3 separate regions of the Mus musculus genome follow, and all the other regions are reported to be linked to region 3. Evidence: microRNA targets listed by miRTarBase, many of them from high-throughput screens and not tested one by one. Region 3 holds a microRNA gene; each other region holds the end of a gene's coding sequence.

The links. Region 3 holds the annotated microRNA mmu-miR-3106-5p (UGGCUCAUUUAGAAGCAGCCA, at 1,481-1,501, opposite strand). A microRNA usually pairs through its seed, bases 2 to 8, with sites in the 3' UTR of a target mRNA and lowers its output. Matches are read on the target gene's strand: a 7mer-m8 pairs with bases 2 to 8, a 7mer-A1 pairs with bases 2 to 7 and ends in A, and an 8mer does both.
Region 1: miRTarBase lists Gas2l3 as a target of mmu-miR-3106-5p. Seed matches in the 3' UTR shown: 7mer-A1 at 638-644 and 7mer-A1 at 568-574.
Region 2: the mRNA of Xpo7 is a reported target of mmu-miR-3106-5p. Seed matches in the 3' UTR shown: 7mer-A1 at 3,292-3,298 and 7mer-A1 at 3,072-3,078.

The regions. Positions count from the first base shown.
Region 1 is chr10:89,409,211-89,413,788 of GRCm38, forward strand. Gas2l3 (growth arrest-specific 2 like 3) reads right to left here. Exons shown (of 11, transcript NM_001033331.2): 11 at 1-4,578. The coding sequence ends at 3,993. Among named protein-coding and RNA genes, the nearest start is that of Gas2l3, 32 kb to the right of the region's middle.
Region 2 is chr14:70,662,043-70,666,620 of GRCm38, forward strand. It overlaps Xpo7 (exportin 7), which reads right to left. Exons shown (of 28, transcript NM_001359888.1): 28 at 84-4,052. The coding sequence ends at 3,959. Among named protein-coding and RNA genes, the nearest start is that of Npm2, 11 kb to the left of the region's middle.
Region 3 is chr8:16,167,325-16,171,902 of GRCm38, forward strand. It overlaps Mir3106 (microRNA 3106), which reads right to left and starts at 1,514; the gene lies at 1,433-1,514. The region is part of intron 23 of Csmd1 (CUB and Sushi multiple domains 1); the gene reads right to left.

The DNA of each region.
Region 1 (4,578 bases), not on the chromosome of region 3:
TGGGTCAAATAATCAAAACACAGTTAAAATACATTAAAAAAGCAAACAGAGTGGGTTTATGCTGACATTTTAATACTTGAGAAAATATAAGTTAAGTTGGATACAAATACTGCTGACATGAAACAACAACAACAATTAAAAAACAACAGAATATATACAAATCCAAACTGACACAGAGATGGCATGAAACTTGGATGTAAGAATACATCAAAACCTTTATTAGCTCCTTTTAAGGAAGTAACAGATTTTTAAATTAGACAGAAATAAAAAAGACTGCAGAAGAAATTATTTTCTCCAAACTATTCCTTTATCCATTATGAAATCAAGCTGATGTGGTACCCGAAACCTGCAAACCCAGTACTCAGGAGACTGAGGCAGGAGGATTGCTATGAGCTCAAGGCCAGCCTGGGCTACCTAGAGAATGCCAGGCAAGCTGCATCTGCGTGATGAGACTTTGTGGAGATGACAGGCCAAGGGCACTAAAAGTCCATACATTGGGAAGGTGCTCTCTTCAAACACCTCCCCAGAAGCAGAGTGTAAAAAGAATCCCTTCATGGGCTGGTGAGATGGCTCAGTGGGTAAGAGCACCCGACTGCTCTTCCGAAGGTCCAGAGTTCAAATCCCAGCAACCACATGGTGGCTCACAACCATCCGTAACAAGATCTGACTCCCTCTTCTGGTGTGTCTGAAGACAGCTACAGTGTACTTACATAAAATAATAAATAAATCTTAAAAAAAAAAAAAAAAAAAAAATCCCTTCCCGTCCCTGTTCAGCTTTATATAATTACACATTAGCAAAGCATTCCAAAACAAAAACATTCTATTTTTAAGAAACCACACATGTGTCTTCCAGGTACATCAGCATTTTATGCTTAATATTTGGTTTATTAAATATTAAACACAAAAAGACCTTATGTAATTTCACACTAGTAGTAAAAAGAAGTGAGTACAACTGCATTATACTTGTTTTTTAAATTGTGGCAAAGATTTATCAGCTCCTTTAGAAAATACCAAAATACATCAGAAAGAATTTAACTTTTTTAATTTGGGAGGGAAAGATATTTACTAATTGATTGATTGCATGTATGAATGTTTTGCCTGTATGTGTGCAATATGAATGCCTGGTGCCTGTGTTCTGGAGGCCAGAAGCGAGCATCAGATACCCTGAAACAAGAGTTCTGGATGCTTGTGAGCCACCCCGGGAGTGCTGGAAATAGAACTCAGGTTCTCTGCAAGAATACCAAGTGTTCTGAGTTGCTGAGTGTTCTCTCAGTTCCCATGGAACTGAATTACTTATTCACATACAACCTATGCTTAGGAAAGACAAGGTACACACACAAAGAAATTCACCCTATATGACTACAGTTGGAGAAATGCTACTGAACAGCAGACAAAAACAAAAAACCCAATCTTTATCTTAAATAAATAATCCTAAAGTTAATTCGGGAATTTGTGCCAGGTGTCTGAGAATATCTTTATTCTTGATTACCCAGCACAAAAGATAATGTTTATAAAACTGTACAATGTACTGAGTCATAGGTTTAGTCTGCCTATAGTGTAATTTATATTTTTCTTTTAATTCTCAGAAGTTACTGATCTAGAAATAGTTTCGGCGGCCCTCTCTATGAGGGAATAGCCTCTCTAAAGCTACAATCCTTCCTCTCTGAAAGGTGTGTTAGATATTCCTGATTACAGAAATGCCCCTGGCATCTCTTTTGAGTGCTAAGAGGTGCTTTCAAAGATGTACATATTGCCATTAGTGATGCTCAGAACCGGAACGTTTGGCAAGTTTTTGGTGGTTTTCTGTTGTAAGGGATCCTGAGTAGATCTTTGATTTTATGCATACTGCTTGGGTAAAGATCCAGTGGTCTTTACCCAAGGTTCTCTTGCTGTATGTAGGTCTAGAGAATGCCAGCAGCCAGCCACGATGCTCACTCATTCAATGATGGCAGGTCTGGGTCAACTATTTTGTTTGTGTTAGAAACCGTATTTGAAGGGGCCGAGGAGGAAGCTCAGTCGCAATGCTTATCTATCAATGTAAGACACCATAGATCCTCAGTCTCACAAAGAAAAGAAAGGAAGAGGAGGAGGATGGAAAGCAGATTTTAAAGGGAGGGCATCTGAGTTATAAAAGAGGAGTCAAAGTGACAATTTTTTTTGAGGCGTGTCTCTAGTGCATAGCTGAACATGACCTTGAATTTCTGATCCTCCTGCCTCCACTTTCCAAGTAATGGAATTACAAGCGTGTACCTCTTAGACCTGCTTTTCCTTCCTACAACTTAGGATAACTGGTAATACCATAGTTACTTAACACCCTTAAAAGTTCCCAAAGTACATTAATAAACTTTAAATAGTGACAAGCCTGTACATAAATCATTTACAAGTATCCCTGTGGGTGGAAGGTGTTTATGCTGTCATGAAATCATTGGATATTCCTGACGAGAATCTGCCTACAGAACAGAAGGTACACTGTCTGCTGGGCACTGGAAAACTGAGCACAACATGGCCTTACTAATGAAGATGAACATAATCTGGAGACTAATTAAAATCGACAGTGTGCTAGCAAAAGAAATACAAGTCACCTGATGAGATGTGTGCATAGCATCACACAAAGGTTCTCTTAATACCATCTTAATCTTTTGTACGCGTCAATATATGTGGTGTGCATGCATGTATGTGAGTCTGTGTGTATATATGCATTCATAGGTGTGTGTGCGTGTGTGTGTGTGTGTGTGTGTGTGTGTGCATATGTGAACAGGATATATGTATGAGTCTGTACATAGAGAGAACAGACATTGACTTTGGGAATCTTCCTTTTTTACTAAGGTAGGGGTGGTCTCTCAAAAGAGCTGCCTCTCATCCATCGGCTCCTCTCGCCAGCCAGCTTGTCCCAGGAAATCCTGTCTCTTCCTCCTGAGTGCTGGGACTACAGGCAGACCATCAAGCCCACCCAGATTTGTATGTAGGTATGGGGACACAAACTCCAATCCCCATGCCTGTACTAGACATGACTTATCCATTGAGCCACCCCCCATCCCTTTTAATTTTAAGATCATTAAAACCTAATTCTGGTATCAAAACACATTATTTTAATGAAAAAATTTATATGTACATATAGGAAATGTCTATTTAAAATATCTTAGTATGCTAAAAGCTATTAAATGTTTCCCTGTCACACTGCACAGACTTCATCTAAAAATATAAGATACAAAGTGTCTAGATTATATATATATATATTTTTTTTTTTTAAAAAACTTAATTCTTACTAAATTTCAGCTTATGATTCAATAAGTTAACTTACTTGGTTGAGTTTTTTTTTCTTTTTATCAAAAATATTGGTTATAAAATGATACAGTATTAAAAAGCCAAGTTTAATTAAAAAACCAAATAGTCCCTTCTGATACGGAAATATTATAGAGATTTAAATAGTAAGAATTCCATTTAATCCAGAATAATATCAAAGTAAACAGCAGGAGCCATTGGTACTTAGGATTGCTGGACCAGGATTCCTGACCAATAAATTAGGTGCCTATTACAGCACATTTCAAAACCTTGCTGGCTTCTACTGTGTACCCCTGCCTCAGCCTTCGGAGCTGGGATTACAGGCACACACTAGCGCCAAGCAAACCATTGCTTTGTGGCTGAGCACAGTAACTAGTGTTTAAGAGTATCGGAGTTGCTATTAGCAGATAACCTCCACAGTTAACCTGTGTTCAAAAATATACCACCAATAGTTAAAATTCTAGTAGTGTTCTTGGACTTTTACACTTCCCTCAAACAGCAGACATCATTAGCAAGATGATACAGGTCAAAACTCACACATTTGTCCATTGATACACAAAATGCATGGGTCCTTTCCCTGACCCAGCTTCATCCCATCTTGACTTCATGTCTGCAGCTCTCCGGACAGACACAAATAGGAAGATCTTTGGTGATCCTTGTGGCTCGCCATTCATTGATCACCCTGATTTGCTGAAACGATACAAGTGTATTTATTTCCTAAGCTTCTTATTTCCGGTCATAACAAAATAATGGTCATCTTCTTCCTTCTTCCTGGCAGTGGGCATTTTATCTCCGCTGTCTGCCCCCTTACCAGATGAGGGTGGGTCCCTGAAGGAAGTTGGTGGCTTGCTGCTTTTGGGAGGCCCTTTAGCTGAGTACTGGCCCTTCATGGCAGTCTTGGCTGACTTCGAGACAGTTTCTGTCTTGGTAGCAGATTGGGGAACAGTCACAATAGACAGCGGGGTACGGCCAGGAGACTTTGAAGAGCCAGGTCCCGGATTCCGGCAGACACCCTTACTCTGAGGTTGCTTTTTGGCAACTGAAACTGTATTCTTACCTTTCGATCCCTGAGTAGCTTTTGCAGAGGACCCTGAGCACACAGAAGCTGGACTGTTTAAATTCAATGTAGACTGAAGTCTTTGTGCTGAGACTGCTCCTGACCTCGGCGTTCTAGTGGGTGGCTGAGACTGTGTCCCTAGACCTATGGCTCCGGTTTTAGAACTGGGCTTGGTCACTTTGGCAGGTGGCTGGAAAGGAGAAGGGTTAGGCCTTCCGTGCATGGCTCCTTTAGGTAGC
Region 2 (4,578 bases), not on the chromosome of region 3:
AAACCAGCAAAATAAAACCAAAAACAGAATATAAAAATCTAACATTTCAACTCTGAGTAAAATCCCATCTTTGGTTTGCACTGTAGTAGGAAAATATTAGCTTTATTTGGGTTAAGCTAATAAATACATAGTACACAATAAAATTTAATAAACATCAGTAAGGGAATTTAGGGTTCAGTGTAGCTTATTCCAGATATCACTGTGTAGATGAAACACTTGTGTCCAGGAACAGCACAGATAACCACAACATACACCTTTCCATGACATCTGAGAAAAGAGGAAGGTATAGGATTTCCGGCAACCTACAGATTGGAAAAAAATTCATCCCTAACCCCACATCTGATAGAGCGCTAATATCCAAAATATATAAAGAACTCAAGAAGCTAACCTCCAAAAAAAAACCAAACAACCCAATAGAAAAAAATGGGGTATACAACTAAACAGAGAATTCATAACAGAGGAATCTCAAATGACTGAGAAGCACTTGAATGTTCAGAGTCCTTACTGATCAGGGAAATACAAATCAAAATGACCCTGAGATACCACCTTATACCGACCAGATTAGCTAAGGTCAAAAACTAAGGTGACATCACATGTTGGCAAGAATGTAGAGAAAGAGGAGCACTCCTCCATTGCTGGTGGGATTGCAAAATGGTACAACCACTCTGGAAGTCAATCTGGAGGTTCCTCAGAAAATTGGAAATAGATCTACCTGAAGACCCAGCTATACTACTCTTGGGCATGTACTCGACCATGGTGGCCTTATTTGTGATAGCCAGAAGCTGGGAACAACCTAGATGTCCCACAACGGAAGAATGAATACAGATAATGTGGTTCATTTACACAATGGAATGCTATTCAGCTATCAAGGACGAAGACATCATGAGTTTTGCAGGCAAATGGATGGAACTAGAAAATATCACCAAGAGTGAGGCATCTCAGACCCAAAAGGACATGCATAACAGGAGTCTATATATAGCACAGCTGCCCTCTGAGATGCTCTACCAGCAGCTGACTGAGACAGAAGCAGATACTTACACCTGACCAATGGTCTGAAGAGCCCATGGGAGGGCCAGTAGTCTCAACAAACCTGGAACCCCTCCCCAGTGAGATCTGACATTGAGCCACTAACCAGGCAGCATACACTAGCTGGTCCAAGTCCCCTGACACATATACAGGAGAGGACTGCCTGGTCTGGTCTCAATGAGAGAAGATGCACCTAATACTTGAGGCCCCAGGGAATGGGAAGGCCTGGTGGAGTATAGGGGTGTGTGGGGACATCCTTTCAGAGGGGTGGGGGGAGGAATGGGATGAGGAATTGTGGGAGGGCAGAAAGGGAGGGAGATAATGACTGGACTATAAAAAAAATAACAAAATAAAAAGGTAAAAAGAAAAATAACTGAATTTCGTATTAGGTTAAATTTTATGAAATTAGTAATGTGTGTTTGGGGTGGGGTCCCATGTAGTCCAGAATGGCTTTGTTGTGTAGCCAAGGTATATATTGAACTAATCCTGTTTTCATTTCCCAAATCCTAAAAACCTTCCCTTCTCTCTCTCCCCATCCATGGTTTCTTTGTAGTCCTACCTGACCTCAAACTTCAATTTGCCAATCTTTGCTTCCCAATTGCTGGGGCTAAAGGCATGCACTACTATGTCAGGGCAAACCTTTGTCAGCGGAGTCTTACACAGCTTGGGGCCGTGGAAGATCTCAAGCTTAAGCACTGTGCCGTGACTGACCAAAGGTACTATCATCCCTAGTGTCTCTTCCGTAGGAGAGAGGGAAGGACACTGGGGTTTTGTTGACCAGCTGTTACTTCAAGGTTTTTCTAGTGTTTGTGAGACAGCTTCCTAGTCCCTTTGTCTTATTTACTTCAGAATTAGTATCCCAGGTTCTCCTGAGCATGTGCCAGGATGGTTTTTCTAGGACTCCTAAGAAGGAATTCAGGATTGGCTCTTGGGCCCTTGCAGGTAAGATACCCACAACTGCCCTATATTGTTCCTGCTTTTCAATGGTCTTAGCCATGGGCTCCCTCGTAATCAAAGCACTGTGCAGTACAGGGCCATAAATCACAGAAACTAGTCTTCATTATTTGCTTCATTTGGCCTATACATTCTATTCCAGGGGAAAACATTTGCCACTGACCTTGTCAAGGCCTAATAAATGAAGCCCAGCCTGTATCAGAGAGGCAGGTGTAAGGACTAACCCAATGGGCCTTTCTTCAGCTACTGCTTATATGTAGGTCGCCACTTTATTACCTGGAAAGAGGTAGACTGTCTTCATTTTGACAACTCTGGAGAACATTATGCTATAAGTATGTGAGCTGAACCAGTCAGAAGAGCTGAGGCAGACACAGTCTGCGTTAGTTTTACAAGACACAGGGACTTCTGCACCTACTGGCTTAAAAAAAAAAAAAGCATGTTTGTCTAAATATCTCCATGTGTTGACAGTGAGACACATCCCTGAACACACTACACGTGACTGCTGAAACCAGGTCAGTAGAAACCATCGAAGTTTATTGGCGGTCACAATGCTTACACTGTATGCAGCAAACACCCTTACAAGTCTATCCGCAACCTGATCACGCAAGAAAAGATTCACCACACAGTCGCCAGAGGAGAAGGAAAATTAATAAGCTTGTTTGTGAGGATTGAGGAAAATAAAAATAAAACCTAATTGGTAATGTCCCATGGGTAAGAGCTGTACTAGAGATGTATATAACTAGCAGCAGTTGTGGGAAAGTACAAGGCAAAGAGTTTTCTCCATCCAATGTTCCTCTGTAGGTTCACTTTTCTTTTTTAATATTCAAAACATTTATTATGGTTTTTATTTTATAAAAATGTATATTTTTCAAGGGAGAATGTTAAATACTTCATGCTAGGTAGACCTTGTTATTGAGAGCCCTCCCCTGTAGTAACTTCCTCCAGTTCATACATTCATGAGTGCAGGGTACACACATAAATATCCACACACATCCACACACACTGCCTCAAAGGCTGGGGAAGACAAAAGTTATGGCCACACATATTAGGCCTCTGGTGGACTCATGCAAATTGCTCAACAAGAGAGCAAATGGCTCAATTCTCTGTCGTCTCCCTATAGAGACCAAGAATCCTAAAACATAAATCCGACTTTTAATAGCAAGAGGCATCTTTCTGAGGATGAGGGTTAAGTAAAATGGGAGAAAGGATGGAGATAAGAACACCAGAGACTTTAGCTGGAGTTATCTGTCACTGCAGGAGGCTGGGGGGCCCAGGGCAGCATCCATGGATGGGGAGGGTGGTGCTCCCGCATGGCTCAGAGTTCCTAATAACAAGGTTAATACAGCATCAGGAACGCATCAGTGGGGGTGGGGAGGGAAAGGGCAGTAAGAAAAAATATACATTTGGAGTTTTTTCCTTTTTTGCCTCTCTACACTGTGTCACTAAATATATCTCTGCACTTTCACACATCCTTGTCCAATAAAGCTTCAGGCCACCACAATGCACATTTTCTTCACTCGCCATACATCACCCCTCACGTCAGCATTGGTGCACTAGACTCTGTAAAAAGTTTTCAGTCACACTTTTGTTTTTAAACTTGAGTCAATATAAACCTTGTTGAAAACGTTATGAAAAAATGTACATGTTTATACAAGGCAGGCTGCGGCAGGGCGCCGGGCTCTCCCTGCACGGTGACCCCAGGAGCGGCCGGAGGCTCAGATGCCTGTGCGTCTGTCTCCTCCCACCACCCCTTCCCACCCCAGTCCCCCAGGAACCAGCAGTGCCCTGTCCCTCAGTGAGTGCACGCACACCCCGTACTTCCCCGTACTTTCTGGGGAAATAGCTGGTTGACTTTTGCCATTTCCCCCATACCCCTGGAGGAAGGAGCCGGGATCAGCCAGGCTCTCTCCCTTGCAACTGTTCACCCTCTGGACCAGACCAAAGGGACGCTGCTCTGCAAGGTAGAGTCCGAGAGTTGTCAGCTCATCATGTCATTGCTATTCACTCCATAAGTGGAATTCTTCATTGAGTCGTTGACCTCTCGACGGAATGCTGACAGGTTCTGGGTGAACCTGCAGAAAGGATGCATGTGGGTTGGGGGAGGAGGTAGAAAGGAAAGGTCTTTTCCTAAGCAGAGAAATGGCTACTGGGAAGCAGAATACAGCAAATCGTGCCTCATCGGCTAACCGTAGTCTCAGAACTATTAGGGAAAGGTGGTCTTATTTACACCTCTACTTTTTCCTGGAAACTTCATGGCAGACCAGAGATGGTCAAACTTGAATCTGGGAGGGCCATCTTGGGCTTGTGGCAGCAACACAGATATATTAACTGCTTGACAAGAGATGGGAATTAACCTTAGAAAGTAAAGGCAGAAATGACATGAGGTTGTTACAGTCCTCAGAGTTGAAAGACTAAGGACGTAGAGCCGTGTTGTTCAATATGGAAGCTGCTAACTATAAACGGCTAGGGAGCACTTGCCTATGGCCAGTGAGAGCTGAATCAAATAATATTTAAATTCAGTTCTCCATTCACACTCAAATCACTTTTATTTTAAAACACTTTCACTAAAATTATACAATTCAGATAAACCAGATAGTT
Region 3 (4,578 bases):
TGTCTAAGAACACATTAAGACATGCACCTGAGCCATCCCAGCCAAAGCATGATGCGCTCATTCATGCTTTGGAACTTCCTTGGTTGTTCTTGCTGGCCTTTCCCAATGATGTGTGCAAGCTGTTCATTTCTATCTTTTTAAATAAAGGGAAGGACATATGTGGCAAGAAGGGGCATAGAATATTTTTAGCATCCATGTTGACATTCCCAGAGTCCTTGAAAGTTTCAGGATGACATAGAAGCCACTTAGTTATGTGGCATGGTGCTAATGGCTTTCTACTGTTTCTGCTTAATATGTCCATATATTGTAGCTTTTTTTTTCACATTTAATTTTGATGATAAATTTGAAAGAAAAACCCAATACTCTGATATAAAAGTGAAATTTCAATATTATGCTTCAAAATCGATTTTAATTAAGATTTCTGACTGATGATGATACTTTTGATACTAAACACATCTAATAGTTCACTGGGATCACTCAAATTTCTTTTTATTGATGAAATGTATTTGTGAGCATAGTAACTTCTCTCATGTGTTTTGTGAGCACACGTGTTCATGTGTGTACAGACTCATGTGCATGTAGGAGCCAGACACAGATGTAAGGAGTCTTCCTTAATCACTCTTCACATTACTCTTTGAGACCCGTTCTCCCATTCACCCTATAGCCTACCATTTGGGCCAGACTGCCTTCCCACTGAGCCTGAGCCCCCACCTGTCTTTGCATCCTCACACTTCCCAATCACATATTGCCGTGGATGCTTTGAATGTGGGTTCTGGGAACTGAACTCGAGTCCTCATGCTTGCATGGTGAGCAATTTATAGATGGAGTTATCTCTCTAAGCCAACATATTTGTTATTTCTATATTATTGTTGGGTAGACTATAGTAACAGGTTTTAAAACTAAAGAGACAGGGAGGAAGAGAAACAGACATAGACAGAATGCACAGACATGATTGCTCTCATTATCTACCTGAGGATTCAGGTATATCATCTTTGTTTTACTCATTGGTTACTGAGACTATATTGCTTCAAATACATATAAAGTATATTGCCTATTTCTGATTTATATTGAAGAAGAACATTAGATGCTGAAGAGATAAAAAATATAAATACTTGTTCATTAAGAACTTGTGGTTGGTACTGGTTGAAAACCAACATGTAACAGTTATCATTTGGGAGAACATCATGTTAGTAGAACATCGAGTGCTCACTTGACACACACTGAACACATATTAACTTCACTGGGTAAAACATCATTTATTTCATTGCCTAGGCCCAGCCATGGCTTCCAGGGCTCAGCCCCACAAGAGGTGTCACAGATCCATCAGCGAGTGCCTAAGGAGACAGAGGGCATTCTTGTGTTGGTGGCTACCGGCAAAGGAGGTCACATGCCGAGTTGCATGGCTCCTTCCTTGAGGGTCCGTGGCAACAGGAGAGGAGCACAGGAAAGCCCATGTATAGGCAGCCACTCTCTGAGTGTATGGCTGCTTCTAAATGAGCCACCTGTGCTTCCCTGGGGACAAGGTACTGATGAGAAGCCACACAGGTGAGCCTGGGCGTGGCTCTTCCTTCCGTTTCCCAAATGCACATACAGACAATGCTCATGCTAACACTTTTACACAGGAATTCCCAGGAGAAGGACAGCTGTGACCTCAGCGAACAACATTCCACATTTCATAGCAGAAATACCAGTGTTCAGAATATAATACAGGACAATCTGATGGTTTACACACAGGTGATTTAGTAATTTAAAATGTAACTTCCCCCTTCAGGGGTCTGCTTTTCTTTTCTTTTTCTTTTTTTCAAATTTGTTTTTCTAGGACTAATATGTCAAAGTAGTATTCTTGTTTTCCACTCTGAAATTCCACAATTTATTAAAATGCCTAGATGGCTCTAAGCATCTGCTTGGCTGGCAGGAGAGTCTGTGTAACCGCGAAGTCTTCCCGGACAAAGATGAGCGAAAATTTATAAGATAAAAATAGTTTTATATAACTCTCTAATAAATATTCATTTCACAAAGTGAGACAGGAAGTAAAACTAGATTGAACATAGAATTGCAAGCCTGGAATGTCAGCACAAATGGAGCCAACCTGCAGGGGAAGGTAATGACAAAAGGCGACCCCATCAACGCAGCCCCGATGCCAAAATGCAGCACGCACAAATTCTGATGTGCCTTTAAGATTTAAAAGTCCCTTCAAACATATACTTTCAACAATGTTTCTAAGAGTCTTCAGCATTTTTTTGTGAAATTGAATTACATAATTATTTTTAAAGTTAGGAATAGCCTCAACATGAAATCATTTAAATGCAAATGCTGGAGAGACAATTAGGGAAACATTCAATTTTATATATATGAAGTATAGTTTTTTTAGCATTCAACTTTAATTCCCATTGTCTAAAACTCAGTACTGCATACCTTCATATTGATTTAATTTTCATGATAATATCCAAATTGGCACCTCTAAAAATACTTTTTATACACTCTGGGCAATATATTCTTTTCATCTACTATTGGCTTAGGAGCTTGTGGAGGTGGCTGGTCCTGACCCTGGCAACTTATTTAGGAACATGGTCCTTTATGTGACCCTCTCTTAGCAAGGACTTGCCTGGCCATGACAGAAGACATGGTCCGTGTCATGTGAGGCAGATTACAGTTACCTCCAACATAATCCGAGCAGAGGACTCTAAGGCAGATTGTTAGGACTAGGGTTGGTTCAATCAAGGAAAATGTTCAAAGCCTGGCAATCTCCAGGTTTCATGAGATAGTGTGAGACTGGGGGACTTCTAAAGAAATAAACTTCGTATTCACTTAGGAATTTTAACCTAATCCTGGGAAAGGGGAGGGCAGGTAGCTATGGCAGGGGAGGTGCAACCCCATTTGCCTCCCTGTACTAGCCTGGAGAAATAGCCTGCTACTTGGCCTTCCATGCAGCTCTTAAATGTCTCGGTGCTTGGGTAAGACGCACTTCGGGAGGTTAGACTGCAGCTCTCTTTACTTGCTTCAGTGAACTGGCGTTCTTTTTCGTCATTCAACATCATGCTAAAGACTTCTTTGGTTGAGAGTCATAAGATGACTGTGAGGTTTCCATTGCCCCAGGAACCTGTTCAACTTTGGACTGAGCAATGTAACCAGCACTCCTCATGTTAAATTTTCCCACCCTCTGGGTCTGGAGAGATGGCTCAGTGGTTAAGAGCACTGGATGCTCTTGCAGAGGTCCTGAATTCAATTCCCAGCAACCACAGGGTGGCTGTAATGGGATCTGATGCCCTCTTCTGGTATGTCAGAAGACAGGGACAGTGTACTCAAATACATAAAATAAATAAATAAATAAATCTTTAAAAAAAATGTTTCCCCACCCTAGCTGGCCCATGCCTGCTCCCCATATGCCTCTGAGAGCAGTTACTGGTACAGCTATTAGCAAAGGTTAGGATGTTTTTGATACACCCCTTTAAGGCATGTTTTCCTTGTCAGTCTATAAAAGGACTGTAAGCCATACACTCACAATCCAAGCACAGTGACTTCCTTCTTTCTCACTCTCTTCGTGGTCCCTGCCTGAATCCTGTCCCTCTCTCTTCTGCAGAACCTAGGCTGTAGGCCTAGTCGGTGATAACTTGGGGGGCAAGGTTTATATAACATCCTGTACATGAGGTGTACATGAGCATCTCCTCATGGGGGCAGTATTTAGCATTTGGATATTTAGCAGCACCAAACCAACCCTTACATTTCACTCTTCAAGGAATGGCTGATGGCTTAGTCCCTGGGAGTTCTTTTGGAGGAACCCTCTCATAGAAGCAGGGGGAGAGAGGATGTGATAGGGTGTTTCTGGGAGGGAGGGAAACTGAGAAATGGGATGACATTTGAAATGTAAATAAAGAAAGTATCCAAGAAAAAAGAAGAATGGCTGAATGCCAGCGAGCTGTCAGTCTGACTGTAACTCCTGAGTGCCAGGCTGCCCTCTCTCTGCTGCTTATGTCATGGATGGACAGCCACCTGTGCAGGAGCTGAAGCTCCATAGTGCACTAATGGGCTCGGTGCAGATCCTCAACATGAAGTAGAGATAAAGTTCACCACGCAAACTACCACCAGTGGAACAAAGTCATTGCATCGGATCTATTCATCAAAATCACCTCTCCTGTCCTGTGAGGTCAGCCATTGCAGGTTTTCCTGCAGGTTCTTGGAGTACGCAATCTCATGCTTCCCGAGTGCGTCCTCCTTGGCCACACCCCCATCCCATCCTCCCCTCCTTCCTATTGGCCTTCCTATAAACTGGAGCCAAGAACACAGTCTCCTCCTTTAACTTCCAGTGATGTGGTCATCTGAGAAATCCCCAGAAGCTGTTTGTCTGTCGCAGTCTGTCTTATAGGAACAGAGAGGGGTTTATTATTGTCCAAATCAGTTTGTGCTGATTATACTCTGTTTGAAGCTTGTTACACTGCCCCTGGCTATGGTTCAAGCACTAAGTATACTCTGAAATTTCTTATGAATCCTGCCACAAATGAAAAAACATCAGTGTTGTCCTTGCTTTTTATTCTTTTATTTCATTGTGTCTGTTATTCCAGGTAGGATATAACCTGAAAA